4 linked regions of the Drosophila melanogaster genome follow. The protein of the gene in region 1 interacts with the protein of each later gene in a pairwise test. Each region holds a gene or a part of one and is shown in the gene's direction. Other genes may lie near its edges. The genes, in order: spidey, CG12730, Pmi and CG6770.

What was found.
Region 2: the proteins of spidey (region 1) and CG12730 interact in a two-hybrid assay, tested with the Drosophila melanogaster proteins (one large-scale study listed by BioGRID).
Region 3: the proteins of spidey (region 1) and Pmi interact in a two-hybrid assay, tested with the Drosophila melanogaster proteins (one large-scale study listed by BioGRID).
Region 4: the proteins of spidey (region 1) and CG6770 interact in a two-hybrid assay, tested with the Drosophila melanogaster proteins (one large-scale study listed by BioGRID).

The regions. Positions count from the first base shown.
Region 1 is NC_004354.4:7,905,505-7,913,673, forward strand, and holds spidey (spidey), read left to right. Parts: upstream 1-3,426; 5' UTR 3,427-3,867; coding exon 3,868-4,033; intron 4,034-4,373; coding exon 4,374-4,420; intron 4,421-5,204; coding exon 5,205-5,280; intron 5,281-5,348; coding exon 5,349-5,689; intron 5,690-5,747; coding exon 5,748-6,083; 3' UTR 6,084-6,381; downstream 6,382-8,169. Other genes in the region: dpr14 (defective proboscis extension response 14), read right to left, coding at 312-490, 541-677, 745-922, 996-1,442, 1,753-1,834; snz (snazarus), read left to right, coding at 7,360-7,475, 7,547-7,686, 7,824-7,920, 7,985-8,169.
Region 2 is NC_004354.4:5,513,377-5,520,849, forward strand, and holds CG12730 (uncharacterized protein), read left to right. Parts: upstream 1-3,231; 5' UTR 3,232-4,044; coding exon 4,045-4,122; exon of another isoform or gene 4,123-4,124; intron 4,125-4,195; coding exon 4,196-4,468; intron 4,469-4,667; coding exon 4,668-4,763; 3' UTR 4,764-5,395; downstream 5,396-7,473.
Region 3 is NT_037436.4:5,776,471-5,786,371, forward strand, and holds Pmi (Pmi), read left to right. Parts: upstream 1-3,580; 5' UTR 3,581-3,640; coding exon 3,641-3,663; exon of another isoform or gene 3,664-3,913; coding exon 3,914-4,062; intron 4,063-4,117; exon of another isoform or gene 4,118-4,119; coding exon 4,120-4,304; exon of another isoform or gene 4,305-4,366; coding exon 4,367-4,527; coding exon of another isoform or gene 4,528-4,531; exon of another isoform or gene 4,532-5,080; coding exon 5,081-5,111; 3' UTR 5,112-5,221; coding exon of another isoform or gene 5,222-5,252; exon of another isoform or gene 5,253-5,360; coding exon of another isoform or gene 5,361-5,838; intron 5,839-6,154; exon of another isoform or gene 6,155-6,200; coding exon of another isoform or gene 6,201-6,379; intron 6,380-6,446; coding exon of another isoform or gene 6,447-6,773; 3' UTR 6,774-7,010; coding exon of another isoform or gene 7,011-7,985; 3' UTR 7,986-8,215; downstream 8,216-9,901. Other genes in the region: vito (viriato), read right to left, coding at 1-674, 734-795; Myt1, read right to left, coding at 1,294-1,429, 1,488-1,852, 1,909-2,054, 2,117-3,071; PGRP-LD (peptidoglycan recognition protein LD), read left to right, coding at 5,361-5,838, 6,201-6,379, 6,447-6,773; Cralbp (cellular retinaldehyde binding protein), read right to left, coding at 7,011-7,985. UniProt on the Drosophila melanogaster protein: Plays a role in mitochondrial morphogenesis.
Region 4 is NT_033779.5:12,042,763-12,048,740, reverse strand, and holds CG6770 (uncharacterized protein), read left to right. Parts: upstream 1-2,622; 5' UTR 2,623-2,765; coding exon 2,766-2,975; 3' UTR 2,976-3,398; downstream 3,399-5,978. Other genes in the region: Plzf (promyelocytic leukemia zinc finger), read left to right, coding at 1-392, 449-1,345; CG6785 (uncharacterized protein), read left to right, coding at 5,750-5,978.

The DNA.
Region 1 (8,169 bases):
CTAAAAATCAATATCTCATCTATATTTCGCGTACGCCCTTACTAGTACGAGTTTTTCATTTCACTTTCATTTCCGTTTTCTTTTTTTTGGTTTGTTTGGTTTTGCTTTCGAGCTTTCGATTTCCGCCTTTTTTTTTCTTTTTAAATACACTTGACCTTAAGCTTAATATTCGGTTTATGCTATGTATCGTATGTTAAACAACCCATGATTAGAGTAAAAGTCGAAAATGCAATCCTGGACAAGACTCTTTTGGTATATGCATTTCCCGCGACACAATCTAGGATCTACGATCCCCGGATTAGGCTGCGTCGTCATCGTCTTAATTCCCATCCCCATCCCCACACTTGTCCCAAGCCCAATCCCCGATTCATTCCGGCTACGGAAATCGAACCGGAGATGCAAACGTACACTAGAAATAACACAACCATTGTGGAGGCGTTGGCCTTTTGGCGGCTTCCGTTCGCATGCTGCATGGCGGCTGGCTCCTCACCTGGAATTCCGGATTCTATATGAATAGCCAAGGGGAGTTTGCACACTTACCGTTCAGCACATGCACCACCACCGTCTCCGTAATCTCATTGCCCAGCATGCAGGTGTAGTTGCCCGTGTCCTGGCGATTGGCATTGGCGATATACAGGCGACTCAGAGCTCGTCCTGGCAGCATGTCCGTCTTGACACTGCAAATGATATCAAATGCATGGTAATTAACTTACGATTATTAAGACCATATACGACAAATCCTACCTGATTCCTCCGCGACTAGTATCGTAGTTGAGCAGGCGCGGTCCGTGCCGCCAGGTGATATAGGAGGAGGGATGCGGAATCTTCGAAATGACGCACTGCAGCTCGATGGTGCTGCCAGCCTTGTAGTACTTCTCCGGCGTGGCCGAGCCCCGCTCGTCGAGTATCTCCACGTGAGGAACTGCGGATGGACAACGAATGAGATCAGCATGGATCAGCAGGTTTTGCTTGGCAAGCCGACAGCAGTTGCTCACCAATTATAGTAAGGTAAACGAGCAGGACGAGCGGCGGATGCGAGGACACCTGGCACTCGTAGGGACCCTCGTCCCGCTCGTTGGCGAACTGGATGAGCAGCTTCCAATCGTTGGGCTCCTCGAACTCCAGCGAATACCGCGAGTCGCCGCTATATGTGTGCTGGCCAAAGGTTATCAGGGTGAGATCATCGCCACGGCGACGCATCCAGGACACCGTCTTGCCCTGCAGATCGTTCACCCGGCAGTGCAGATAAACGCTGGACGAGAGCTGGGTGCTGATGTTCAGCGTGGTGTACGGATCGGCGAAGAACGGGAACGGCTCGTGGGTGGTCGTCTCGGTGACCTCCAGCTCCTCATCCTCGGGCGTGTCGGTGAACGGCGATGAGAACTCCTGCCAGAAGTTCTTCGGAAACGTGTCGAATGGATCGCCAGCTCGCGGTCGTTTCACTAGTTCGAAAAAAAACAATTTCAATAGATATAGTTAAAATATATATGAAAATCATATAATATATAAAAATAAAATGCACTCAGCTAAAATCACGTATAAAAGAAAAACTCAAATAAAACAATAATTTCGTTTCGAATAATGCTTGCACACTAAGTAGTAAAATAATTGTTTTACATAAAAAAAAATAATCATTTTTCACTTGGGTAATCCGCAAAGTAAACAAAAGAACTTAATCTTCAGCTTAAAAGTGCCAAAGTTTGAGTTGGGTAAAAGTTTGCAATGTGATTAAGGCATGAGGTGGAGACTCACATGTGGTCGACGTGGAACCCGAGCCGATGTGATGGAGTGAGGAGTATATAATCGCCAGTATCCAAAACAGCCTCGATCTCATCACTGCAGCGGAGTGTCTTCATATGCCGACTTACGGGATACGGTAACAGGATGCGGGATGATGCATCGACTGGCGCCACTCGCCGCAGGATATGCACATATGAACGAACGCCCCTCTAAACTGTTCTATATCGATCCAAGTCCAACTGCATCAGCGTCCCACTGCATCGCCAGCGATGATTCCACGGACTTCACTTCGCTTCGCTTATCGATTGCCCTGCGGCAAAATATTGCTGGACATATTGCACTCAAGTATCTTCTTTTTCAGAGTGTCCTTTTCGATTATATATGTATATTTACTTTTTCTTTTTCTCTTTTTTGTTGATTTCTTTGCACACTTTTCAGCGCGCGGATGGAGGCTGGAGGGATAGGAATGTCGGACAATTGGAAAATCGGAAAAGCGCTTATTAACCAGCTCGTGTTGCGTGTGTATTTATCCTTTTGCAACTGCTGCTCGGATGGCCAATAAACGGGAATGTAGGTCAGGGCATGCTCTGCGCATGGCCAGCATCCGCATCCCTATTATTTCATCCGAAGGAATCCCTCTACCCGAGCAACAACAACAAATAGCAGACGCCACTCACCTCTCAAGCTCAAAATAATGCAATCTTCAAGATTGTTTTAAAAAGAAAAAGACTTTTCTTTTCTTCTTTTGTTTGCATTTGTCCAGGAAAAAAGCTCTTTTCGGCGGATGGTTCTGATAAATATTTAACAATATAAAAGTTGCTTTTGCCGGTCCTTCGGCGTTGTTGTTCCCTCACCCACACTTGCTTCGGCACTGAATCCGCTCCGAAAGGCCAGCATCTCTCTCGGCATTCTTGCAATCCAGGGATTTCTACCCACCAAACAAGGTCCTTTGAATCCGTATAGCTCGGCATGCAAATAAATCGGGCGATTGAGCTCAGAAATACCTGTATTTTACTAATTGTTAAGAGCCTAGAGTAAAAATACAGATAAACTACCATTCTTTTACTGTCAAATTAAGCTTCAAATTCGAAATTCGATAAGTAACCGATATTTATCGATAGGCAAAGGATTACCCTCGCACATACGCGATCCGCTATAGCCATCTCGCTCCATCAATAATTTACCGTTAATATAGCGGGCTTTACTCAGAAACATCAAAAATATTTAACGACTTTAATTGTAGCATTCGCTGCGTTAAATTGTTTATCGCACTTTCTGCTTCCTGCGCATGTGCAGGAAATTAGTCAGACTATTTCGGTGATTGCCCCATTCTGGCGTGTATTGGTGAGAGCATAGAACTTACACTGCCCTCCTATGATATACATATGCATGCTTTTTTCGCTTTTAAATAAACTAATTAATAGACTAGTAAAAGAAGGATATACGGTAATGAACCTGTGAACCCTTAGGCGGAAAACTATTGCTGAATTTACATTTCATCCCTCTTTTAAAATCAGCTAGTGCAACATAACGGTTCTTGGTGTGATAAATTTTTGCGCTCACTGTTTGCAGCCGCCCTTATCTTTCGCTTTTTGGTGGTGTGCGTGAGCGCTATGAAATGACATAAGTGGGCACACAACACAGACACACACCCCTCTGAGGGGGGCACATGGATACGAAAAAGAACCGTTCATTTGCTTTTGTGCCGTTGACAATTGACATTCAATCGCTTTTTCCATTTGTTTTTATTTTCCCCCTTCTACCCTAAGTTTCTCCTTTCAAAGAAAACGCATTTGGAATACAAATCAGGCAAAAAACACGCGTACATAAATCGAGTAATCGAAAATCAGTGGCGATTTCGAAGGGTGTGTGTGTGTGTAGAATTACTACAACACACCACAAATACAGTTCGAAAAGGCAGCGCAGTCGGCAGAGGCGAAAAAAAAGCAGCGGCGTCAGCATTTCCATTTCGGCATTGCAGCTCGAAAATCGTAGAATCAGAAACTAATCAGCCGGCAGAGGCTATAGCAGTCGACCGATCGCAATCGCACCATATAGTACATACAATAGGTACCATTGCCTAGGAGTACCAGGAACCAGGAACCACTAATCTCCATCATCAACATCATGGAGGAGAACAACTCGCAAGTGCTGAGCCTGCTGGGCGGTCTGGCCATCGGAATCGTGGGCTTCCAGGTCTTCCGGAAGGTCCTGCCCTGGATTTACGCCAATGTTGTTGGCCCCAAGGTCTTTGGCTCCTCGGTGGATCTCTCCAAAATGGGCGAGTGGGCAGGTGAGTCGGTTGCCATGGAAAAACATGCCGGAAAGGAGCGGAAACGGGGTCGATTCCGAGTGCACAGTGAAAAAATGAATAGCAAGTTTGCTAAAGAAGTGTAGTTAAAAAGATTAAAGACCCTTTTACAATTAAATTGTGAAGAAAGGGAATTTCCAAATTGCAAACACTCTACTTTCAAGTTTTCCAATTTTGCATTAACTGCCTAAAGGAATACACTATATATCTTTCCAAAATGGAGTTCAGTACTTTTTTCACTGTGACCGATAAGATCGTTCCCCACGCCCCATAAATCCACTGATAACCCACAGAACTATTGGCTAACTTTTTCGACTTTCAGTTGTCACCGGGTCGACCGATGGAATTGGCAAGGCCTACGCCAAGGAGGTATGTACACAAAGATGACATGGAAGGGCTGCCCCAATCTTGACCAGCGCAAGCAAAGTCCGTCCAAGCTCGACCGATGATTATAGTAAAATGGGAAACGGGTCAAGCAAACAAACAAACAAAAAACGATAGTAATAATGAGCAATTAGTAATTACTAATTACCGAATTGAGTGTCGCCCACGATGACTTGGACATTGGTTTAGCGGTCGCCAATGCATTAGCCAAGTGAATCTGCACTTTGAAATCGATCTTCAGTCAACAGTCCAGTCGCAAACAGTCCCTAATAGTGTTTGCTTGACTGCAAATCGCTACATTTGTACTTTTCGTTATTTATTTTTACAAAGTGCAATCGCAGTTGATTTTTCTACCTTTTGTGGTAATTTTTTTTTTTTTTTGCCAGTTTTATTTTGTAATACACAGACTTGGAGCAAACGAAGCTAGAAGCTATAGGGAACACGTGTCCCCTGAATGGCAATTACTTTATAGAGTGGAGCACAGGGCCCCGATCGAAGCTTGTGCCAAATTAGCATTCGGCGTGCGTCGAACGCACAGAAAATGGTTCAATGTTCACACCCAATTTCTATTCATATACACGCTTAGTACACTTAAATGACTTCCTGTTCTTAAAATCTACGGGTTACTCGTCTTTGAAACTCCTGCTTTAGGTAGAAACGTTCAGTGTTCCCATTCCAAAGCACCATTGCTTTTTATCTCTGACCTAAGAATTTACTATCCAAAAGTACGTAAATATGAGCAGGCTAATAAATATTTAATCACTTTCAGTTGGCTCGCAGGGGCTTGAAACTGGTGCTGATTAGTAGATCCCTGGAGAAACTGAATGTGGTGGCCAAGGAGATAGGTAAGTCTGCTCACTAAAATACAGTTAACAACTTCAACTAACAACTGCTCTTTGCGGTCTACTTTCAGGCGATAAATACGGTGTGGAGGTGCGTGTGATCGATGTGGACTTCACCGGCGGTGACGAGATCTACGATAAGATCCGCGAAAAGACCACTGGCCTCAATGTCGGAGTGCTGGTCAACAACGTGGGCATCAGCTACGGCCATCCCGAGTACTTTCTGGACTGCTACAAAGCCGATCCCCCATTCCTGCGCAACATTGTGGCTGCCAATATCCACTCGGTGACGCACATGACCGCACTTTTTCTACCCGGCATGATTAGCCAGCGACGTGGTGTGATCATAAATGTATCGTCCACCGCCGGAGTCATTCCTAATCCGCTGCTGAGCGTGTACAGTTCCACCAAGGTGAGTGGATATCATCAGAAGTGATAGAAGGCTAATTACTAATACCTATAATTTGCAGGCCTTTGTGAACAAATTCAGTGATGACCTGCAGACGGAGTACAAGGAGCACGGCATCCTCATCCAGAGCGTCCAGCCGGGCTTTGTGGCCACAAATATGTCTAAGATCCGAAAGGCTAGCGTGTTTGCTCCCTCGCCGGAAACGTATGTCCGCTCGGCGCTGTCCACCCTGGGCATTGCCACCCAGACGGCGGGCTATCTGCCGCATGCTCTACTCCAGCTGGTCATCCACTTCACGGAGGCGGTGTTCGGCGAACAGTTCGCACGCAACATCGTTATGAAGAACATCCTGGGCACCCGGAAACGTGCCCTGCGCCGCCTGGCCAAGGAACAGTAGATTATTGAGGATGAATACGGCGGAGGAGGCATTTAATGGGAATCGGTTGGGATGATGAGTGGGTCAGTTGGGTTGTGGGGAAAATCCGGCTAGTCAAATAGCTTACGTAATTACCGCGTGTCATACGAATCCACAAACAGATAGCTTGAAATACCAAAAAAAAAAACATTTTTCCGAAATAAACTAAGTTTAGTTAGTTTTTGTCATTAATTAGCATTGAAGATTCGCAAACAGCCATGTCATGTAAACAATAAAAAATGTGTTACTAGATATATGTATATATCTAGTTTCCAATGATAAATAACGCCTTTTATTTGCAGTCCTTTATTTTGTATTTAACTTCTTATTTGTTCTTGCTAGCGATTTTTCTTTTTCCCTATGATTTTTCATGTTTTTCGGATCCAATTTGAATTTGAATTGGATGTGTCGATAACGGCAATAGCTATCGATTGGTCATCGATAGGCGCGCCCTTCGGCTAATCGGCGAGATGGGAATGACAGAAAGAGATACAACACTTCGCGCAGGGCGAAGAAGCAAAGCAAAGGGCAAAATTCATAAACATAACAGTAAAGATAGTGTATAGCCGGGCGTGAAATGTAATGAATCGGATTCATGACGTGACGTGTTATCAGGGCCAGCCCAATCCCAACTGCGCAGCAGCAGCGACAGCAACAACAATAACAACAACACATCAAGCTGAATCGAAGGAGCGTGTAATCAGTAATCAGAGTCGCTTGTTTTGATTTCCTTTCCTCGGAAACGAATCAACACGAAACGAGACGAGACGATTCGAAACGAAATGAAATCAAAACTCCGCTCCGGATAAAGCTGGTCAAACCAATCAACTTGTTGCGGATCCGCAGCGTCGCCCAGTATTGATTTGGCGCATATTGCCGACAGTTGTGGTTCCGATTTCGATTCCCAGCCAGCTGTCTCTCTGCCCATATATTTCAATATACGACGGACGCTTCTCCAAAAGCCGATACAATACTGTGCGATACCATATTTGTATTCGTTTCTCATTCGTTGACGGGCGAGGCGGTGGAGGCGGCGGTGGAGGTTAAGAAGAAGAAGGAGAGGTCGTCGACAACGGAGCAGTAGAAGAAGGAGGAGGTGGTGGACACCAGACCAAAGCGGAATTGACGCAATTGTTGAGAACTATTTTTAATGGTCAGCGGGTCGAAAATGTACAAAACTCATCAAATATTCAGAAGAAGTAGGCAATAAGGTGAGGAGGCAGTGATTCGGAAGTCCCGAATCGAAGTCAATCGGCCGATGGAATCAGAGGAGCACGCTGTGGACGCCATGGAGAATCGCCGTTTGCCACTGTTTCCCATCGAACCGGAGCCATCCGTAACGGCAACGCAACGCCTAACGCTCCTTGCCACCCGGTAAGTCCATACAAATAATGTCCAATCAAATACATATATTGGATACAGACTAGCCCTGAAATCCCTTACAGACTACTACGTGCATTGCAATTAAATTGGAGGATTATTGTTTCGGGCATCACGCTTACATTGCTGGCCGTCATCTGGTATTATCCCACCTTCTTTCTGTTCTTCGCCTTTGTGGTCTATTCCCTGGTCTTGGTTTTTGCGGGTAAGTCTTCCGCTTTCGTTCCAGGGCGTTTTCTAATGGAATGATGGCAAATGAGTCACCATATCGGGCGCAATCAGTTCCGAACGAGCGCCTAATTAAAAATGCCAAATATCTAATTGCCCTTATCTCGCCGACAGCTGTGGCGGGAACCGTCTATATCCATTATATATTCACCACCAACGAGCCGACGCCACCAAGTCGCGTGCCCTCGCGATTGCTCTACAATGCCACCAAGTGAGTAGCGGACTTTGTTCTATATGATATATATGTATATATCTCTATCTCCATTGACCCGCAGAAGCAACATCTTCGATCTACCCAAGCCCATCAAGAATCCATCGAATTTGCCCCTGATTTTCGGCAAAACAGTGGACCTGCAGCTCCAGCAGATCATTGAATATGTGCTGCGCGATTTTATGCTGCCCTGGTTGGGCTACGTGGTCACCAAGCCCAAGCTGATCAACGATGTGGTGCGCGAAGATC
Region 2 (7,473 bases), 2.4 Mb from region 1:
AATATTTCGTAGCATACTTTCAGGCTCTTAATTGGTGCATTTCCAATGCATTGCAATGCCACGCGCACAAAACGAGCATACTTATTCATTATTTGTCACATCAATTTAATTGATACTGAAAATAATATAGAAAGGGCAAGGTGTACCTTTATTTGGCCCACTCGTATTTCCGAGAATCGAAACCACAATTAGGATCCAGCCAACCGAGCTGAACTGAAGATGGCCTCGCCTTTTGTTAACCGAATGCACACACTCGGTTGCCATATCGAGTGCATATATATTATTTACCAAACATGTACTTGAGTTATCACCGATACCGTATGCAAACGTAAATTTCCTTTGGCTTTTTGACTACGTGGTCATTGGTCTACGTGCCAATCCAATTTCCTCGGCACATTGACTGTGGCTTTTCCTTGGCACGCTTTCAATTCGAATTTGCCGACATCGAAATGCAAAAAAACAAAAAAAAAATCAGAAAAAAATATAGAGGAAAACAATTGGGGTGCCAGCGACTCGGGACCCCTGCACCTGTAACTGGCTTTTCCGTAATGGCAGACAACTTTTCAGAGCAGCGCCAGCAGAGCGAAGCGTTTACATAAGTGGCAAGTACGGAGTCGTAAATCGTGGCAAATCGAGTTCGGTGTTCCTCTGTTTCCCTGGACCACCTGGCCAAGTGAATTGATCAAAAATCACGCGAAGGAAATTGCTTTAAAATGTGCAGCGGCAGCTGAATTCAGCGAAGAGCAGATACTGAAAATGAAGTGGAAAAATCGCAGGGAGCTTGTGAAAAGTGTGTACAATTCGGGGGAAACGGGCCAATGAAATGCCAATTAAATTGATTTGAGACTCAACCAATTTTTTTTTTCTTTTCCATATACTCGTAGGAGGTCATTAATGAGGTCTATAGGAAAATGTATTTTCGTTGATTGATTGACGGATTGATTGGCAATTCATTAGCATAAATTACCCGCAGAAACCGAACTTAAAGTGAAAGTACCACCAGCGAAAGCTTAATGCCCTTCGAATCTAGTTATGCTTCGGGCTTTAAATAATATTTTCATTTCAAGTAAATTCGTTTACAACATCATTGAAAGCTGTCGAAGAACAGCAGCTCCATGCACCACAACTGAGATGACAGTAAGCTCGCGAATATGAGATGAGCCTCCAGACAAAGAGATACAGATAGCAAATAAAGGATATTTAAAGAATGGCGGCAAGGACATCCTGTTGCACTTGGCCCATTTGATTGATGACGTTGGCACTTGAGTGCACACGATAATCATTTATAAGGCGCATAAATGTTCTGTTCCCCGGGGGGGAAAAAGCTGGAAAATCCGAGGGGGGAAATGGGGGTGGTTGTCAGCTGGCGGATAAAAAGCGCCCAAAGTCGAAGGGAATATCAGATTCAAATTCACTTGGCAGATATGCTGAGGTCGTTGCTATTTTTGGGGTATTTCGGGATTCGAAATTAGGGGGGGTGGTCTTGGTCTTGTCACGTCAGCTGCAGAGTCTGACAGCCACTGCACGAAATTTGCATTCAAATCGAGCCGTGTATCTGGGCAACTTAGTATCTGTATCTGACAGATACCCAGCTGGCACACTTCTTTGTCGAGGTTGAGAAATGGCTACGGCCCAACTTGCCGCTTTCTTTCGAACTTCCTTCAAAGTGCCTGAAACTAATTATCTGCCTGCTCGCAAACGTTTACTCCAACTTTCGTTTAATTGGTCATAGTTATCGCCAAGTTTGTCATTATTAAAGATGCTTCTGATGCATCTGAAACTGGATTTTTTCAGCCAGAACACTGCTTAATAGCTCACATGTCGCTTTGCCTTTGGTCCTGCTCCACGTTATCCCGTCGCCAAAGCAAACAAAATCTTGCTGATGCAGCAGCTGGCAATTACAGCGAATGCTTTTCTAATTAGATGCACCCACATTTTCCAATTCCCCCCGGCCCCGCCCCCCTCTCTCTCCGCTGCTCTACAACATGGGTGGAAAAGCGATGGAAATTGCCTGAGTGCGTAAGCGAAAAACCAGCCATGTGCATGAATCGTAGGCGAGATATATCACTAAACAATGCACTCTCAGCAACGTGCCACTGAGTATAAGTTGGATATTTAGTTAAAAACTATTTAGATGCTTTTGCTGTTATTCAGTGGTTTAAAGCGCACATTTATAAAGTCCTCTGTGCACTTATCGAATTCAAAGTCCTAAAGAAATCAAAGAAATGTCCATAGGTAATCATAGCTTTTTGCCATTGAGACTCGCACGCCCTCAAGTGTAAATCCGCTCTCCAGTCAATTTTCTTCGCTTTTCCGCCGCACATTTTCCCCGCTTGTCCAGACGATTCGATGCTTATCGATGAGCGCAAATCTCGTGCCTCCCATATTTATGTATATATATATGTTTATACATATATATGCATGAGCTTTTAGAAATCATGTAGACATTAGTTGCCCTGCAGTCGTCTGACTGTTTGTTACCCTCGAAATGGAAACTGCACTTTATCGCTTAAATTGCTCAAGTGCAGTTCATTTATGATTTTCGTGCTCATTTCCGCTTGTTGTGGCCGATTTCCGTCGCATAGATATCTCACTCAGCATTTTCCGCTCTGCATTAGAATATGTGAATCTGTGAAACTGTGAATGTCTCTGAATCTCAGTCAGTCGAGGCGATTGTGCAAGTGACCTTGGCCAGGAGGCGGGGGCCACCCATGCGGCCATTTCGTAAACGAGCCACCTCTCATGAATATGAGTCAATTAATATAACTCAATTTGATGTCGGGCCAGAGTGTTTCGACTGCTACCCTATACAAGTATCTATGCATTTTCAAGAACTTTAACAATTGAATGTGGAAAATAGTACATGAGTAGCGAGAAATCAAAATTAAATGAATGAAAAAATTGTATCTGTAATATCTTTGTAGCTTTGTATCATAAAATTTTTTTCTTTTGTATGGAGTAGTGTGTTCAAAGTTCGTCAAACTTATCTGGCCACCAAATGGTTTGTGTATATTCACGTATTCCGTATGATATGTGCTGGGCAGCTTGTGTTTTGCAATGTGAATCACGACGAAATTGCATTTGATTTTGGGAGGCTCGCATTTGCATTCGCATTCGGATTTGTGCAGCGATTTATCCGTTAAGTAACTAAATCAATTAGCCTGCTGTGCCGATTAAAATAACGAGAAGCGTTTCGGTCATAGCCGATAACAAATACGATTCGAATGGCACAATCTAATGATGCTGGGCATTAAGATACAGATGGAAATTCGAATGCACAGTGGTCCAAAAAGGGCCCAACCTCAAACTGCATGTCACAAGCAATGCCAGTCATAAAAGCTCGGCACTTCACACGACTAAAAAAGCTTTGCTCACCCAGTAACCGGTCACCTTGCCTTATGAATATACATATATTTAATATATCCCTGGAGGTCAGTGAGTCACACCGTGTTAGATTCACCCCTTGACATCCCCCGAACGAAAATTAGTATAATGTAACGAAGAAGCATTCACAATGAACAGACCCCCAAAACTACAGTTAGTAAGACAAGTTAATATGGTTTATTCATTTATTGGAAATTACAGCTTTCTTAAACTAATAATCCTATTTTTTATAAATACCCAGCTAAAGCTAATCTCCTTAATATTTATAGTTTCATTAGATACCATTTGAGTAGATAACACAATTTGTACACAATATGTACTACATTTCCTGATCGTTTCGTCCCACTGTGCCATGTGTTGCTCGCTCTCTGTCTCTCTCTCTCTCTCTCTCTCTCTCTCTCTCTTTCGCCCGCTGCTTCTCTCGCTCTCGCAATTGTAGTTTTATTCGCCGAGTGTAACGATGGGAGAATTCTGAGTATTTGTGTTGTTTGTATTACTTCAGTGGCATTCTGTGCGTGCTGGCGAGCGCAATATGAATTAGTCAGCGGCGCTTCGCTACATTTGCTACATTGGCTTTAATCGCTCGTTTCTGAGGCATCTATTCGGCTGGACAATCTGGATTAACTGCATCCAAAACGTATATATCTTGTATTGGCCGCGATGTCGTTGACGGGAACCCAGGACTACGATCGCAAATACCTGCTCAGCATGCCGGGCCTGTGCAAGCTGGCCTGTTTGGTAATTAGCCTTACACATATGTGCCATTGTGTATCGCCCTTAATGTGTGCGCTTGTATGTGTGCGTCTTTCAGCTGTGCAGCTTTGTTGGAATATTGTGCATCATCTGCGGACCGGTGCGCGTGAGCAATTTCCGCGGCAGTTTCTACCTGGCCGTAGTCACCATCGGATTCGTGGCCACCGGCTGCCTGCTCCTGGCCAGGTATCTCCGGTTGTGGCAGCGCCAGTTCTGCCGATGCGATCCCACGCTCTGGTCCCTGGCGGTGCACTCCTCATTGGCCCTGGCCTACTTCACGGCCTCCGGACTCGTACTCTCCCTGGATATTGGAGCCTATACGGCGGCGGCGGTAAGTGGCGTTCTCGCAGTTAGGATAAGTTCGGAAACCAAAAGTATTACGGCTCATTGTTTCGGCTAATGATTAAGCTAGGAAAGATACTGGTAAACGAAACACTGAGCCTCCAGTTGGAGCCGATTCATTCCCTCGCTGTGATGAACTCTCTGTAGATCCGTCTAATACACCCTATTCTTCACCTTTTTTTTTACAGTTCTTTGGCCTGACAGCATTTTGCATCAACGGACTGGAGGCCTATGGAAACTATCGGCGCAGTCGCCAGCGGGAGGTGGCCACCCAAACGATATAGACTTGGTTTCAGGTGCACGAACCCAGCTTTTGGTGGCTCTTACTACGTTAGGCTTACTCTGTGTGTGTATCTGTGTGAGAGCGAGTATCTGTGTGCGAACGAGTATCTGTGTGAGTGCCAGTGCGTGCGCGTGTGTGTGAGTTTGTTTTGAGAGAGCGAGTATCGCTTGCGTTTGCTTGAAGCATTTAAGTCTGAAGTTTGAAATTGTGGCAAGCTTTTGTCGCGGGAACAGTTACCGTATGTGTTATCTAATAGTCGCTAGATATAGGTCAAGAAGTGAAGAAGATAAAGCCAGTCGATCGCAGCAATAACGTAGATATAATAGCGAACAGAAAGCGAGAGAAAACCACTAACAAGAGAGCAAATTCCAAAGAGATAAGTTGTATTGTGCCTTCTGGCTCTGCTTCTTCCCTTCTTCTGATAACTGGTTAACAATGCGTGAATATATATGTACATATATATACCCGATTTTTTTTTTACTTTTATTAAGTACATAGTATTTGTGTGTCTCAAGTGAATATACATTGAAGTAGTTAGTTTTTAGCACAATGCTTTTCATGACCACTGAATTGTTGTATTTATAAACAAATAAATCGTTTGCAATGGAAGAATAAAACAAAAATACATAAATGTAATTTGTAAATGAAGGGTGTTTTTTAATGATGAGAGTTCATATGCGTAAATTGGGCTTGAATGTCAATTGTTGATCGTGCATATTGTTATTGATTCATTTACGCAAAAGGCCACTTTCCCGAGGCTATTGTTTATTTATTTTACTACACGAACTACTTTTGCGACCATGTTTGCTTGCACAACAAGCTATTTTCACCTAACATTGCCGGATAGAATTTTTGCAACCGGCGCTCCATGAAAAAGATATCGCCAACCTTTGTTTACCTTATCCGCATTGAAACTGAAAATAAACAGGTACACTATGGTGCCCCCCTGTCTGATTTTGCTTCTTGTTTCGTTTTCGTTTTGGTTTCGGTGCTCTGTAAGCTGTTGCCATTGTTGGCTTTTCAAATCTTTTGAACCACCCACAAACGCAACAACCATCATCACCCAACAAGCAGCACCCAACGCCCACAAAAAAGCACTTGGCTCGTCTATTGTTTGTGTTGTTTTTGGGGGCTCCCGCCTCATTATTATTACTTTTGTTGCCAGTTTGATGAAGTTTTCGCCTCGATTCTTGTCTATTTCTGGCACGATTTATTCATAGTTAGTTGTTCGCCAAGCATAAGCAAATTTTCAGCCAAGTACGCTTAACAACGTAATGAAGAGCGCAATATATTCATGTGTTTTATGCCGAAAAGCGCTGGCGTAAAAAAAAAAAAGAAAAACAAAATAAATGTATAGAAATGTAGCCGCATTGCAGACATAATATGGGTTTCGCATTGCTTTACACGTGCAGTAGGCAACCCTGTAAAGTGCTGCAAGTTGCCATGACCACTCATGACCTTGTGCACTTATCGCCTATGTGTACAGAGAAAAACCATGTCCTTTAAAGGGTAATTTCCATTTCCATACAAGCTTCATTTAATTGATATATTTATGTGGTCTTGACTCTGCTCGTAAGTAGATAATTTTTTGCGGTGCTTCCTAGCCCTCTTAGCCAAATGATCATTTAATTATTTCTTCGTCGGCAGCTCTTAGCACTTCCCATACCCTAATGTGCCATAATTTCTGCTCCACCATCGACGCTCTCGGCCATGCAAGTCACGTAAAGTGAAATTAATTAGTCTTGTTTGCCAGTTAGTCGGCCTCCTTTCGGGTTGGCAAGACGAGAAAGTGGAAATGCGGAAAAGCCAGGCAAGGGGTCAATCCTTGAGTGATTGAAATGCAATCGTGTGGACCGAGTTCATATTGAGTTTGTGGAAATGTCATGGGTCCGCACTTCCTGCCAGCAAATGATTTATGCGGCCTGCAATTTGAAAGTTGGCTGGCTTAAAATATTTTCTTTTTTCGCTCATAGAATCGTGGTTAGCAGTTCAATTGGAAAATGTGACATGCCAACGCTAACGGTAAGCTGTTTCATAATTCGCTTCTGGCCTAATTAGCTGCTAATATTATCTGAGATAAAACATCAATGGATGGAAAGTGAATGGAGTCCGGCATAAAGGGCGTAATAACCACAGGGTCTGGCTCAGATGATAACTGTTGCCCAAATTACAAATTGTAATTGAGTGGAATGGGTTGCGTTGTTGTGAGGGAGCACCGTTCTTAATTAATGAAATCATTCCCGAATCAAACGCGCATTTAATCAAAGTCAAGTCGCCGTTCCTTGTGCAATTTATCTGGCTTGGTCCTGCACTTGGCAAAATTTACGTGGCCAAAAGAGCCTAATTCGCGGCAAAAGTAAGCCTAGTTCCCTAATAATACGATGTATTTCACAGTTCTTGGGTTACATTTCACACTTCAGCACTCAAATGTCTGGTCACAATCCCTGAACTATAATCAATGTTAAGCGATTTAAATACTAGTGTATACTACGGTTGGAACAAATAGGCATTTTTTTTTTTTAAGAGGATACTTTTTAATTTGTTACGCTTCTCTTTGAACCGTTTTGTGGCATTGCCGTCCCAGCCAATCCATTCCATTCAGGCCAAACACTGCGGCTGTGGCCAAATGACGCGCTGAAATGCGGGCCTAGCATCCGCCCTCACCCCCTTGACCCGCTTTTGGCCCACTTTCGAACCTCCTTTTGGCCGCC
Region 3 (9,901 bases), on another chromosome or scaffold:
ATTTGGTCTGGTTGGCCTTTCCGTACTTGAGCTGCTTGCGCTGATGCTTGGGAACGCTCTTGATGGTGTTGTTGCGGTCCCGCTTGGCCTTCTTCTGGTTGTTCTTCTTGTCCAGGCGCTCCTTCTGCTTGAACAGTTTGCTCTGGTGCATTTTCTTCAGCGTTTTGGTCTTCATCAGGCGGTCGAGATCCTTTTTGCTCTTGATGTCCGGCAGCGTGGAGTTGTTGGACTTTGTGGCCTTCGGCTCCTCTTCGTCCTCCGGCTTGGGTTTACGTTTGCGGGCGTTGGGATCGAAATCCATGCCGGGTATCCTATTGGCCTGGTCGGCTTCGTCCTCCTCGCTCTGGTCAGCCTGCTCCTCCGGTTCGCTTTCCTCTGCCGTGTTGGCACCCAACATATTGCGCTTGGCGGCCAGATCGTTGGTGGTCAGCTCCACGATCTTCACCTGCACTTCATCATCTTCGTAGGTCTCCTCCTGCTGCTGCTCCGCCTCCTCGGCCTTGTCCTCCTCGGTGAGCTCGCGCAGCGGTTCGAAGGATTTCTTCAGGTGGTTAAAGCCATCCTTTACCTCCTGCCGTATGCGCTTGCGCTCGTTCTTAAGGTTTCTTTCCAGATCCGCCTTTGCACGCGATCGTCGCTCATTCTTTCTTTTCCGGAAGCCACTGAGAAACTCTCTGCGGGATTGGGATGTGGGCATTAGTATCCTCCGGGGATTCTGTGTCTCCTTACTTACATGCGTTTCTTGTTGTCGAATACAACCTCTGTTTTTTTCTTAGGAGCCTTTTTCCTGGTCATTTTCAAAAATTGTGCTACTCGTTTTTGTTTACGTTTTCAACATGTGCGAGCGGCCAGTGTTACCAGATGGGCAAAATACTTTTCCCCGAAACGAAAGGTACGTTAGAATTCAAAAATGTTTTAAAAAAAATTTTTATAGTTATACGTTTCTTGGTTTTTACCTTTAATTTGTTGTTATCATATGTCATAGATGGCATTCAGTGCAGGTTTCAATTTCAATAAGTTTTTTATTTTTAAACTTTTCAAATCGCTTTTCGTATATATATCACATGATTATATGTTCAAGTTCAACAAGTTCTTCTAAAGAAGCATTAACATTACACAATCGTAAGACTATATCTAGGGAACTTCGTACAACACTACGGTCTAGAACTAATCAAAATACAATTAACGATATATTCTGTTGCCATATGTATCTGGTATTCGTTTCGTAACTGATATATATTGGGTTTATCATAAATTCATTCGGTTTACGTTGCTCGCTGGCACCGTACTCACTCACTCGTCGTCATATTCCAGGACGAAGAGCTTTTTGCGTCGGAACGATGAGGTGTCCAGGACCTTGGCGGAAGATAGGGCGGAACACGGACTCTCGAAATCGTGTACATGAACGTACCTGCCCATTGAATCAACACTGAAAGCGGATGGGTTATGTGCGCTAGTCCATGAGCTAATCGATTAAGGGTACTTACTTATTCTTTAGCAAATCCAGACGGGATTTGCCTTGGTTTGTGTTCAATGGCGTGGAATTTATTACGTTGGGGCTACCCTGATTGGAGAGGTCCAGCGGGTCCTCGCCGGAAAGGAAGTCGGAGGCATAGCAGTCACGATTGGCAATGGGTGTGGATCCTACCAGCTGGAACTCCACCTGAGGCACCAGAGGCACTCCCTTTGACGAAGGCGAGGAGGGCACTATGTTAATATTGGGCTGTGAGGCCGTTATGGGCTTGCATAGATGCAGGACCTCCAGGAAGTATAGAAGGTAACGAAAGGCGGCTGTTTTCCAATTGCACATTCTTCCCCAAACGGCGCGGCGAGATCGCCTAAAACTACGCGACTGCAAGTTGTCAAGGGTTAAGATTGATTCTCAAAGATGTGCTTGGGAATGCTTACCAGCATGCTGAAGTTCATCAGCGACTTGCGCTTCTTTTGCAGGTACTGCAGCTTGGGATGTGAGAGTAGCTGCTCGGCCGTCGGCCTCTGCGCAGGATCGGGCTTCATCATGGACTTAATTACCGACTGCAGCTCCAGTGATATTTCTGTGCGAAGAGAAAGGCTTTAGCAACCTGCCATTTAAGTAGGCAGCTAGTTCGCAACTCACTGTTTATGAACTCCTCGGGCAGAATGCCGTGCCTCAGTTCGTGCCACAGTGGGCCGTTGGAAGGAAGATCCATGTAGCATGCCAGCTCTAGCATGGCAATGCCCAGACTGAAGATGTCCGCAGCCTTGGAGAAGTGACCCTGCAGGATCTCTGGAGCCATATACCTCGAATCTCCCTCCGTGGCGTGATGGCTGTTGGCCCTGTCCACATCGATGACCAGTCCAAAGTCTGCCAGCTTGCACGTCTCGTCGTCCTCGCCGATCAGAACGTTGTCCAGTTTAATGTCCAGATGGATGAGATTCCGGTCGTGCAGCGACTTGAGACCCCGCAGCAGATCCAGCAGGATGTGCCAGATGCGCTCCTCCGGTATCCTTTGGCAGCGCAGCAAGTACTGCTCCAGACTTTCGCGGCACAGCTCCATTTGCATGTACAGTCGGTCGTACTGCTCCCAGGCGCGGATGAACCGGATGCAGTTCTCATGGCCGGAGAACTCCTCGTAGCGCCGCACCTCTTCCAGCCGCTCTGCGCGGTACTGTTCGCCGCGGAACAGTTGCTTGGAGATCTTGACGGCATATAACTGGCCGTCGGAGCGATCGCGCACCTGGAATACCTCGCCGAAGGATCCTTCGCCCAGTTTGGCCAGCCTTTCGAAGCACTGCTCGAAGTGTGACAGGGAGAGGGTGCTCAGCTCGGCCTGGACTGGTGACGAGGGCAGCGTACTGGAATCCGAACATCCGGCGTCCCGGAAGGAGATCGCGTGCGCGATCTGGGAACTGTTGGTGCTACAGGAGCCCAGCGATTGGCTTCGGTTCAGATTGTTGTTGTCCACGGCGACGTAGCCACGCGTCTTGTACTTGGGCGGCCGGAAGCGATTGCTGTTCTCCCCATTGCACTGTTTGTGTCTGTGTTTGTCGTCGTGCAATTCCGGGAGGGGCAGGCGATGATGCTTTTCCATTTTCAATTTTGGGTGTCTTTTCTTATGAGTGGGCGAGTGTGACCATATCGGACAGCCGGCGAAATCCTGGCTTCTTCGCTTGGGACAATAAGAGCCGGCTAATTCATTTAACACATGTATCTTATATTTTTGATCTTTATTGGGAGTATAATTATTGATTTCAATTAAGTTAAGCTCCTATAATCGTATACAGATTTTACATGATTTGCCTCTTAAATGCCTCAATTATCGTAAATAGAGATGGGAGAGTTGAGTAGTTGGAAGAACAATAGAAATACTGAAATATTTTTAAAAACTTTAATCTAATCTAATTGTCTTTATGAATATAGGTAAATAAGCAAATAAATTGCTAAATAGTGGAATTAAGCCTTTATATATAGGCCGCTCTTTAAAGGAGAATGGTATTTGCGAATACGATATAATTCAAAAGTGCCGCCCAACTGCGGTATTTTTTTGGAAGATTGCTATTTGCAGTATTATGCCCTTAGGTACCTGGTATATTTTAACGGTCCAGCTGCGGCCGCACTGAGTTTATGAACAACATAGAAAACAACAAATTTATTAGCAAAATGGTTAGCAGAAATATAGAAAGGTAAATACGGCGCCTAGTTACGTGAATGCAGTGGGATTACGCAACACATTCCACCTGGGTGCAGCCAAATCCCAGTTCCCAAGTGCACCTGCCCTGGTTATGCAATTTACTAGGCGGCTTCTTCATTTATCTCGTCTGCACAATGGCTTCTCTGCTTCGGTTGTTCTGAGCGCTTGATCTTGACCTTAACCTTGAGTTCCACATCAAGATAACCATGATTGATTCGTGTATTGTTGTTCTAATTGTGCAGCACGAGTAAGGTGCCCACTTTCCATGTCATCCGCGAGGTCTACGACAGCTCCAATGCCCATGAAAGATTCGAGGCTGAGCTGGACAAGGCGCTGGAAGCCAAGTTGGACTTCATCGTTATAGAGCCGCCTCGGCTGGGCGACGAAACTGGTAAGCACTTGGAAGTGCTTCCTTTTAAAGCACAGTATTAATTTCATATCTCCACAGGTCGTTGGATTTGGGTGGGCAATTGCCTGCACAAGACGGCGGTGGCCACTGGAGTGGTTTCCCTGGTGGCCAGCTTGCTGTGGCGGGATCGCCCCATCATTGCAGCTCCCGCTTGTGCACTCTCGATTTTTTGCACAGGACTGTACACGGTTTCCTGGAACTACGATCCATGTTGTCAATATCAGGTATGAAAGGAAAAGTTCTAGATATCCAAGATTGAGAAGCTCACTTTGGTTGTGTTTTTCAGGTGGAAAATAATGACACCGTGTTGGAGAAACTGCCACTGACAGATGTCTCCTCGCCTGTGATTTTGGGCTACTCGCCCAACTCAAAAACCAAATACTTGCACCGTAGCGTATCCTTGCTCTCGGCTGCCCTGTGCGCCTGGCAGATTTGGAGGTCCTACAAGTAAGGGATTTGCAGGAGCTCTGAAATGTCCAGGTGCTGGATTAGGCCTGTCCCCTGTCTCGCGGACGCGTAATACCTAATAAGTTAAGTTTAGGCACATAGGCGAATGCATTTCTTTTAGATTTTCGAACGATTTTAACACAATGTATTGTCTTTCGTGAAACTTTTAAATGTTCCCATAAACCAGTGTCCATGTCCAGTGTTCCCGTGGCTGCCACTTGCACTGGCTAGCATGCTCATAACTTATTACGGTCCCCAAGCCCAAGTTAGTCTTAAGGGAGGAGCAGCCTCTGCACTGTAAATTAAGCAAAGCCAACCTCTGTGTATAAAGCGAAACCCATTTATGATTGTTATTAGAGTCTAGTTGAAGATATCAGCAAACGAAAGTCAAGTAAACGCGATGCGAATGTTACTCCCGGCTTTAAAGTTACTCCATAGCTAAGAGAGTCTAAGAGTGAGTGCGATAAGAGACCCCTTCGAAATTCGTAGCTGATGATTTAATGGAAATGTTGTGCTTCATGCGGGCTGGTTCTCTCCCTTGTTCTCGTCTCAGTCGTTTTGTGCATTCTGCTGGCAGTGGTTGACAGCGGCGACTCCGATCGATCGAGTGGTGTGTTCCAGTGCGATCCGGTAAGGAGCTGACCCACTCACAGCACCACCTTGATGCCGAGGCTGCAGCCAGAGCGGTCTAGCCATGGACTCCAGCCACATAGCCGTGCGAGTGGGTAAGTCCGACGATAGATAAGCCCTTGTCTTGATAAGATATAGTTAAATGGGTGAGATATACGAATGCGTGCATCTCGGCTGGATATCCCAGCTCAGTTAGTGGCAAGATGCCGATCTTTGTGAGCGCCTACAGTCTGCGTGCCATCAGCAAATACTATGCCCACCAAGATCAGAGTGGCCTGGACAAACTGTGCCACTTGACTAATCATCTGGTCGCCTTTATCTTGGCTAAACTCCATAATTTGTTGTTTGCTCTATATTTCGCTACGATAGCACGTCGTAGTCCCTCGCCGGCCGCCGTCTCTCAGTCGTCGTACGGCAGCCTGGGTTCCAGCCAAGATATACACATTCGAGTGGACAAGGAAGGCGTTGCAAGCGAATCCACTCCCTTGCTGGCAGCTGCTCAGCGGTCCATCAAGACGTCCTCATCCCTCACAGCCTCAGTCTCAGCCTCCTCCACGACGCCTTCGAATTGCCGAAGGAACCCGACGCTCCACGAAGACTGCTTCAATTGGCGCTCGGTGGGACTGCTGGTCATGTGTGCATCCGCCTTGGCACTGGCCGCCTATTTGCTCTGGAGACAAAGTGAGTTTGCCCGCTGATGGTGGACGTGCACGAGTACGTGCTCAAATCGTTATTGTTACATATATGCATAATAAATAAATCTCAATTAGCTGTGAGTTATGATAAGCTGCTCATGTGCGTTTTGATGGGCAGGCGAAAGTATTCAAAGAAAAATCGATCTATACTCATAATATAATGTATCTGGCATTAAATTTGTATAGTAAAACATTTTAAAGCCATCCCTCATTTTTTTTTTTTGTTTAACTTAAGATTCGTTTTATTTTTCGTATGCATGCATATGACTCATTGTTAAATTTTTCTAAATTCGCCTTTATAGGTGGACAAAGCCACTTAATGACTGAATCACTTTGCACTGCTTGCAGCCCAAACGCCGGACTTTGGCTATCGACTCAGTATCGTGGGTCATGGCATATGGTCGGATATGGAACTTCAGGGTCGGGGAACTCTTTTCGATCCGATCGGTGTCGGCACAGTGATTTTTACCCACACTGGAAGCAATGAATGCCACGATGATTGCCCGGATGTATTGCATAAGCTGGAAGTGAGTTAATCGGACATAAGTATGTGTAGTACATTGTAATCAAAGCTAAATTCATTCATCTCCTTAGAGGTCGCATGTGGGGGAGCTGCCCTACAACTTTCTGGTCGCCGGTGATTGTCAGGTTTTCGAGGCACAAGGATGGCACTATCGGAGCCAGTATCCAAGGGATCTAAATGGAATAGACTCGTTGGTGATGGCCTTTGTGGGTAACTTCAGCGGCAGACCACCCATCGATTGCCAGTTGATGGCCGCCCAGGCTCTGATCCTTGAGTCTTTAAAGCGTCGGATTCTGCAGCCAATTTACCAACTCTTCGTGTTGGGCAGCTATACGGACGCACTGCAGCGGGAACTGAGGCACTGGCCGCACTACGCGAGCCACCAAACGTCCAAGTGAAGCAACAAAGAGATGATTCCAAATTATTCCTCTCGTTTATTGTACGCCAAACACAAACACAGTATACAAAGAAGCGCAGGATGAGTAAAGCGGTTGCCACCGATAAGCGAATCAGGGATCCCCAGGATCGGGCGCTGGCCAGGATCGGGGGACCGGCGAAGCGTTGCGCATTGGGTTAATTGATTGGATGTTGCCTAAGACTAAGGACTATAAACTTAAACTACAACTGGCGATCGGTTAGTCGAACTCCAGTTTCCGAAAGCTACCCTCGATGGACTCGATTTGTGAAACGAAGTTGGGTCCGCCGGTGGAGGCCTTTCCGGCATTGAAGCTGCTGCGCCGCTGGATGCCGCGATCGGAGCGCAGTATGCTCTTGTCCAGACCGAGAATCAGGTCGCGCTTGGTCGCCAGCTCCTGCTTCCACAGCTCGATCATCTCGCGCATGGGCACCTTGCCACCCATTTCCAGCGGCAGACAGCCCTGGTCCACGCTCTTCATCAGCTCCTTCTCGCTGCCGTAGATGATCAGGCGGTTCTTCATCTTGGAACTGACGCGGTTCTTCACGAAATCAATAAGCCACTTGAGTGTGGATGGTACATTGATCAGGTGGATCTCCTTGTGACGCATGGGCAGCGATTGCTCACCCCACTTGAAGATGCGGGCAAACTCCGTGGGATTCCAGTTGGTCACATGCGCCGTGGTCACGCCGGCGAAGTCGCCCACATGCGTTAGCCCAGTGATCTGTGTTTCCTGATCCTCCATCAAGCACTCGTAGGTGAGGAAGTGCGCCTTGGCCTGGTCGCAGCTTGTGTGGATCTTCGGATTTAGCCCCTTGGCATTGATGACCACCACGCGGCGACCGTGCTTGTCACGCTGTGGCACCGCAAATATGTATCCCTGATCGATGAGGTCGCCGAGACGCGGCTCCAGATAGTCCAGCTGGGTGCTCATGTGCGGGAACGTCCTCCTGATGTTCAGGTACTTGAGCAGCGTCTGCTCGGCCATCGGCACACTGAACTTCTTGGCGCGCAGGAAGCGCAGCAGGAAGGTATCGTCGCATCGCACATTCTGCAGATCCTCGTTCTTGGCCACCCAGTTGCGCAGCTGCTCCAGCGACTGCTCCCGCGTGCATCGATCCTCGCGCAGCTCCCGCTTGGCGATCTTCAGCAGCGCCTCTGGCAGGCCTGTCGTCTCCCCCTGATCCTGCACCATATTCTGCTTTCCTTCTTCGCTGGAAGATCTGCGATTCGTTGGTTCTGCTCTGTGGTCACGCGATTGGCATGGACTGCGGTCACTACAAAGAATGATAAGAAGTCCACGGATTAGTCGGGTTTTTTCTCAAATCCACATTGTATGATTAATATTTATACTATATATATGTATATGTTCTTAAAGAGATTGAATTTACTTACTTACATACTTGTAAAATATATAATTAAATTAAATAAGAACAACTTTTCATCTTGACTTACATAGAAAGCTTCAATATACTGAATCTACAACCAAGTTAGGCTCCAACTTCTTTATAAAAAGTGACGAATATCAAGTTTGAAGCCTTTGCTTTAATCAAAACAAAAAAACTCACTAGGCAAACGACGAAACTTATTGTTTAATAATTCTGCATATATGTATTTATCAATGAGATTTATTAGTGGTCTTCCCATTGAAATTGGTTCAAGGTCCCAGTGATCTCAAGGCGAACGCCACCGGATCACGGATCGTTGTAATTTGCAAATATTTGCTAATTAAAACTCGCGTATGAGACGCGTTTTTGTTAAAACAGAGCTGCGAAAGCGACGAAATAAAAAAAAAAACTTATAATTTATTCACTTCTTTGTTGTTAGGGGAACCATAAAGCGACCACCAAATGCCATTATGGTCGCATATAAAACATGTATGGATGGCAAAAAGACTGAAAAAGAAACCAGGCGAATTGGTTCAAGTTCAAAACTGTTTACTGAAAGCGGGTCAAAAAGAAATATATGTATGTATGTATGTCTGTATGTTCGTAATTAGCCAGTACCAGAAAGAGTTTCACTGTTTGAGCATCCGAGCATCATTCATTGCATAACAATAAAGAGCGTGGAAAGCAAAGAAAAGTATGTGGAAAGCGACCGAAACAATGCCACTGTTTGACTTTTGCAGATAAACAAAGTGCAAACATGGATTTATATCAATATTTGCACACAATTTGTGATCCGAGCTGCGGATGGATTTGATTGTTTTATGGCCCTTTGTCTGCGCACTTTGAATCCCCCAGCCAGATAATCGAGATCGAAATCCGTTTTCCCATGACTTCGACCCATTTGCATATGTACATACATATGTACATATATACATACATATCTCTTGGGTTCGAATGTTGCGAACTCTGTGCCATTTAATTGATTCGATTTTGGTCCAAAATTTGCATTCGATTTTGCTTATTTTTTGTTTAGCTTTTTTTTTCCTTTTGTCGGCTTTTCAATTTTCGTTTTGTCGGTTTTCCCCCCGCTCCCCCCGGAAATGCGATTTCAAAATGTCATTGGGCAATGCGCCCGTTGGATCCCGCTTGCCATCTCTTTCGTCCGCCAGCTACCCCTGTCTCTCTCTCTCTCACTCTCCCGCTCTTCCACAAGTTTCAACATGTTTATTAGGAGCTCGTTGTGGCTTGCGTGGCTTTTGTGTGGCCAACTGAACAGGCCAATAATGCAACAGGCGGTGCAATCGTGGCTTATTTGGTAATTGTTATTCCACAGGCTCCTTTATTCTCCGCGTTGATTGATTTTCGAAAAGGTTTCAGGCTAATCATGTTTGGTTTTTCAAAGCCAGCACACAATTGCAAATCCATTTTTGATCAAAAGGGTTAATTGGATTTTGATACATTTTGATACATTTTGATTGCTTTTTGATTGAATTGCGCATGAAAAGCTTAAAATTAAAAAAAAAAAACAAACTTTGCGAATGGAGGAGGGCGGTTCGTTTGGTTATTAGTCCAGATTATTATCCTATAACATGTGGTTATAATCTTTTCTTTTTTTTCCATATTGTTTTGCTATGAAAATGATTGAAAATGTTGAATGAAATGCTGTAAGTAATTTGATTAATCCTTGTATGCTATCCTGTTCATATATCCTTTTCGTTTCAGT
Region 4 (5,978 bases), on another chromosome or scaffold:
TGGATTCGGATGATTCCCTCAGCTTAAGCGTCCATTTCTGCGTACTGGCTGCTCAGAGCCAGTTTATAAACTCTAACCAGAAGCAACAGCAGTTCTCCATTCACAATCCGCTGAAGATCACCATCCGTAATTTCAGCTGCACCCAATGCCTGCACACAATTGTGGACTTCTTCTACGAGGATTTGGTGTCCGTGTCCAAGGAGCACGAACTGCATTTTAGGGAGCTAGCGCAAATTTTGGCTGTGACAGAACTACTGAATCTCTACCAGTTGCAGCCCTTGGGCGAGGCGAAGGAAGCAACGGAGATCCCAGCACCTGGAGAGGCGCAACCAAATCCAGATCCAGAAAAGAAAGCGGAGGCTGTGTTTGAGAATCGACAAAGTTACTTCAAGGTGGATAATATGTCATTGAGCCACTGCCGTAACTTATATTCGCCTTTTCCTTAAAGCTTAAGAACCCGCGAGCTGTAAAGTCCAGCAGCAAAGTGAACTACTGCATTGGCTGCGACTTCAAGTGCTATCAGGTACAGAAAATGATCGAGCACATGGGCAGCTGTGAGCCCTCCCATTTGATTTGCTCGCTGTGCGAAGTCGGCTTTCTGGACTGGCGGGAATACGACACTCACCTACGACGGCACTCTGGTGATCTGCGTAAGCCCTTCTTTTGCTTACAGTGCGGCATCCGCTTCAACACACGAGCTGCCCTGCTCGTCCATCAGCCTAAGCATTCCACGGAAACGCCGCACATATGTCCACATTGCGGCAAGGGCTTCAAGTGGAAGCAGGGCCTGAGCAATCACATCCTGGTCCACAATCCCGAGAAGCAAATGCTCTGCGACGTCTGCGGCTATAGCACCACGCACATGAAGGCCCTCAAGTCGCACAAACTGCTTCACACCGGAGAATTCTTTGCGTGCACAGTTTCAGGCTGCAAGCATCGAGCCAATCGCAAGGAGAACCTCAAATTGCACATTGAAACTCACAAACAGGGTCGCGATTTTATCTGCGAGGTCTGTGGCTGCAAGTTCAGCCAGAGCAAAAACCTCAAGCGTCACGCCCTCAAGCACACGGAGAATGGTCCGAACCGCTACAAGTGCCAGCTGTGTGGATTCAGCAGTCATCGCTCCGACAAAATGAAGGAGCACGTGCAGCGGGTTCACACAGAGAAACCGGTGCAGTTGGAGCTCTCGGAAACGGTGGACAGTAGCTTTCCCGATGACTTTGAGCTTCCCGTGATCGAAACGTCACCCAAGAAGAAGCCAAAGAGTGTTAAGAGCAAGACTATAAGGAATGTTAATCCTGACAAGCGACTGAAAACACTACTGCCCAAGGAGACTGTAGAATAGGAATAAAACGGAAGGTTACCCCATTCATAACTTCTCAGAGAAAGAGATTTGTGAGGCAAAGGTCAATAGTAAATATTTAGAATAACTATGTTGAAAAGAGACTGTATCAGCAAGTTTAGAACATTTGCTATATTTACAAAATGAGACGTGGGATCTCTCGTTCTGAGTTCTAGTACAACAAAATTGTATCTAGAATATTCACGGAAACCCAGTTTCTTTTTAAAGCCATTAAAAAAGAACCATCGAGAAATCTAAAGATTGATTTGCTACCAACGAATTGTAAATAAAGTGGTATATTGTGGCAGGTTCTTGAAACAACATTGTTGAGGCCGTTCTATCTTATCTAAGATGGTGACTACGATCTATTGCGTCGTTTGAAGACGAACTTTCAGAACGAATACCTGCCAAATGACTAACTAGAGCGATAGTTAGCACCTTATCAACGCCAGAAGGCTATGTATATATGTATGTACGTAACATTTGTTTATATAAAATCCATTAAACCAAAACAAACTGAAAGCTTTTCGCTATTCAGAAATAAACAAATGCGTTGCCTGGTGGGAGGGAAGTGGGTCAACCGATCAGGTTCTAATGCACCAAAATAAATATCCATTATGAGTATATCTTTTGTAAATCAAAAATGTTATTCGAATTATAATTATTGCTAAATTGTTTCTTGTGCCCTAACATTCAAATATTGTTGAGTGTAAAAAAATAAACAAATTTTGAGCAGTGTATCCAGAACATATGATGCATTTAATTCTATATTTATTGGGTGGAGAAACAAATGCAGGGTAAATGCACTTTGATGGTCGTTTGCGGAGGGCCAAGGTGGGTGTGTGTTATGTAACCACTCAGGAACGTGTGTATGCTTAAAAGTTCTTAAATTATTAAAATAAATGAACAAGGCGAAATAATATGTTTGGCGATTTCAGTTTTTTTGTTTACCGCGCACTTTGTAAACAGCAAAAAATTAAATTGCGCAGCAAAAATTGTCAAGGAGGCACTCTCTTGAGCGCAAAAGGGTTGTCAGGCCCAATAACTATGAATTTTAATAACTAAAAATTCTTTTACATAAAAAAGAGCAAATATATTTTGTAAAAGTTCAGTAGAAAGTTATAGAAAAATTAAATATTTTTAGTAACTACACGTAAGCAACAATTAAATGCCCTTCTAGTAGTTTCTTTAGCTAAATCCGGCAACTCTGACGGAGAGAGAGCTTTGGTTACGGAACAGAAAGCTTGCGCGCCTATAAAAGCCGCTGCTCGACCGAAAAAATTCAATTCCGTTCGCAGCTCAGCGAAAAGTGAACAAAAAAAAGCAGAAGAGAAATTTGGAAAGCAGCCTGCAAGTTTGCAGAGAAACAAAAAGCAGACACCAACCAAGAACGCAGTTAGTTTTGCAACCTTAAATCGCCATTATGTCCGAGGCCCACTTCGATGAGTACGAGCACTACAACTTCGACCATGACAAGCACATCTTCTCTGGACACAGCGGCAAGCAGCGCAACAAGAGGGAGGCCAATGAGCACACCAACCACTTCGATCCCTCCGGTCATTCCCGCAAGATTCTGACCAAGCTGATGAACACCAACAACAACAACAAGAAAGCCGCCGCCTGCAAGAACTGATGCAGGGCATCGACGGAGGCGGTGGAACAGGAGAGAAAGAAGTAACGGGGCCGCGCTGAAAGGAGAAAAGAAATCTTCGAATTTAAAAGGAAAGCAAAAGCAAAGGAGAGAAGAAAAAGAAGAACAAGCAGCAGTTTTGCTGGAAGGAAAGAAAGAAAAACAAAAGCCAGCTGGAAATACACATTGCATTTGTATTGTGCATTGGCTTTTCATGCGGCGCTAAACTTTGTGAACATTATAATAATTTTATTTCGCTTATAATTTCACAAACACAAAAAAAGAAAGGCACATACTACTCTTAGCTTCTAATATATTCCTAAACTAATTCAGACTTGCAAGTTTTAGTTGCTAAGCCTTAGAGCGTTTCAAATAATGAAGTTTGACTTAGGTAATACATATAAAATAAAGAGAAAACCAAAACTGAATAGCCTGGTCGTCTTATTTTCATTTGCATTTGCAGCGCACCTTTCCAAGCGAGAGAGCTTTTTGAATGCCGTTGGTGTGCTGTTGTGCATATTTATAGCCTTTTAGTTGAACTCATTTGCACTCAGCTCCTCGATTATCGCAAAAGCAGTTGCAGTCGACTTTTTTCTTTGTTTACAGCGATCGACCAAAAAGAGAACATGTATGAACATATTTATTTGTGTATGTAATGTATGTATGTTAGTTTGCAAACGGAAATATTCCCGAGACCTTCCATTGAAAGTTCACCAGTTACACAGGTAATTAAACTTGCACACACATATTCCTGCATCATTTCTTCCGGTTTAAATTTGCGTGTAAGGTTGCATTTATGAATATTGCGCCGCTTTTATTGACTTTCAATACTAAACGATATTTTTACATTAGGTGTCCAAAATTACAAAAGCTATGTTATTTTCCACTCACAAACAAACAAGCACACGTACAAAAATAAACCGAACAAACTTTTCCAGAAAGGTCCACTCTAATGGAATTCTCTCCTCTCTCTCGCTCTCTCTCTCTCTATAAACGCCATTTGCCGGCTTTTTGAATTGCGTTGTTGATATTTGGTAAACAATAAAACAGACTCTCGATCAGGTGGTTTTGCTATAATGCATATTAATGAAATTGTTCGAACATATTGACAATTAAAATTCCAAGACTCTTATGTATGTTTAAATTCGCATTTTGGTTAGTCATAAATATTCCTTATCTTCATTAAATAGCATTTCGTCTGAATCATTGATCTATCTAAAAATGTGGTGTTCCAAACTTCAAACAAATAGAAGGTGATGAAAAACCTGTTTTTTTATAAAATTAAACATTGCAATATATTGCGTGTTAAAAGTGCCTTAGAATCGGTTTTTTATTTTTATTAAATGTATTTCTAAATTAAAGATTCGTTAAACTCGCATTACAAAAGTAAAACAAAATCGATAGATAAACATTATCGCCGCGGTTTCAAACAAAGCAATATCAACAAATAAAATTTACAATCGAGCTTTTTAGAGGAAAACAAGCAAGAGGTCTAAAAAACGAGTAAACAATTTTGGGGGTAACGAAACTAGTTTGCCACGCTGCGTTTCGCCGGTAAACATATGACGCATTAATAGTTCAGTAAAGTCTAGAAATCGATAGAAGTTGAGGTCTATACATATTTACATACATACATACATTCATATTTATGTGTATGTAAGATTTGAAGGTAAGATAGTACATCGAATATACATACATACATATGTATACATATGTACATATGTACATATGTACTTCGTGATTGCACTTTTCTAGTTGCGCTCTTAAGATTAAATACTAACTTCATAACATGAGCAATTTTCATTTCATTTCAATTCGCATTAAAGAATAAAATTGTTAACATCGCTTTCTTTTCTAAGATATGAGTTTTAATAGGTGGCTACCTATATGTATCTATATAATAAACTATGATAAGCTCATATGTGTATACAATATTCTAATACGATATCCTTTCTTTTTGGTTACTTTGTGTAGTATACCAATTTCCCAAAAAAAACTGTGTATTAGCATTTTTAAAATGGTGTTGTCTTCAAATTTCGAATCGTTAAGGCGATCTCACCAATGTACAAACACCCCATTGATGTTGACTTAACGTATCTTAATTGTAGAAATAGATTTCTTTTCAACCCCATTAATGAAAGTCGCACGCTTGCCACGATTTGTGTCTAAATATGGGCATGTATGCAGCTTCCTAGATCGTGATCTTCGCCTGGCACACGACCGACGACGGACCTCGATGGCGGCCACTCCACAGGCGTGGATCTTTGTGCTCCAACGGCACAAAGCCATTCCAATTACGATTTCCTAAATTCCATAGTCCATCTTCTGGAAAGAGAATCATATTGCACACTTTCACCGCGAAAAAAAAAAACGAATTTGTGGCGAACAACAAAATCGGGAATTATGCATAACTGAATGGAGAATGGAAGTTAGCATCGGATGGGATGGGATCGTAGTACTGGCTACATTGGTGATATGGATGGTGCTAATTGCCGCGGCACTTGGTGGCTTGGATGAACCGTTAAATCGAAACTGGAGCACTGGCCCAATAACGATGATGCACGCGGCCCGCGGATTAGCACCTTTCAACGAGCCACTACGGATGGATGTTCTAGATACCCAAAAACCCGCCATTAGCACCATTGCCGGGCGGAGTTTTTCTGGCTCAGCATTGGGACATCTTCGGTTAGTTGTCGACTTAACTCCGAGCCAACTGGCCGTGCGGTGTGTGCTGAACCAGGATTCGAAACAATAGAATCAATAGTGACAAACGGATAATGTCTGCCTACGAGAAAATGCCGGCGAAGGCGCCACGACGCCTCTCACCCATATGGTTTCTGGTGGTCACGTTTCTTCTCTTTGCCACCACCTTAACGGCGCTGGCCGTGATCGAAGCTGGACGGGCACAGAGCAACGCGGGCGGAGAAAGCGATCTCCTAATCCTTACGCGCATGTGGAATCATTTCAAGTCCGGTGCCGATAATGATACAGAAATTGCCACGGTGG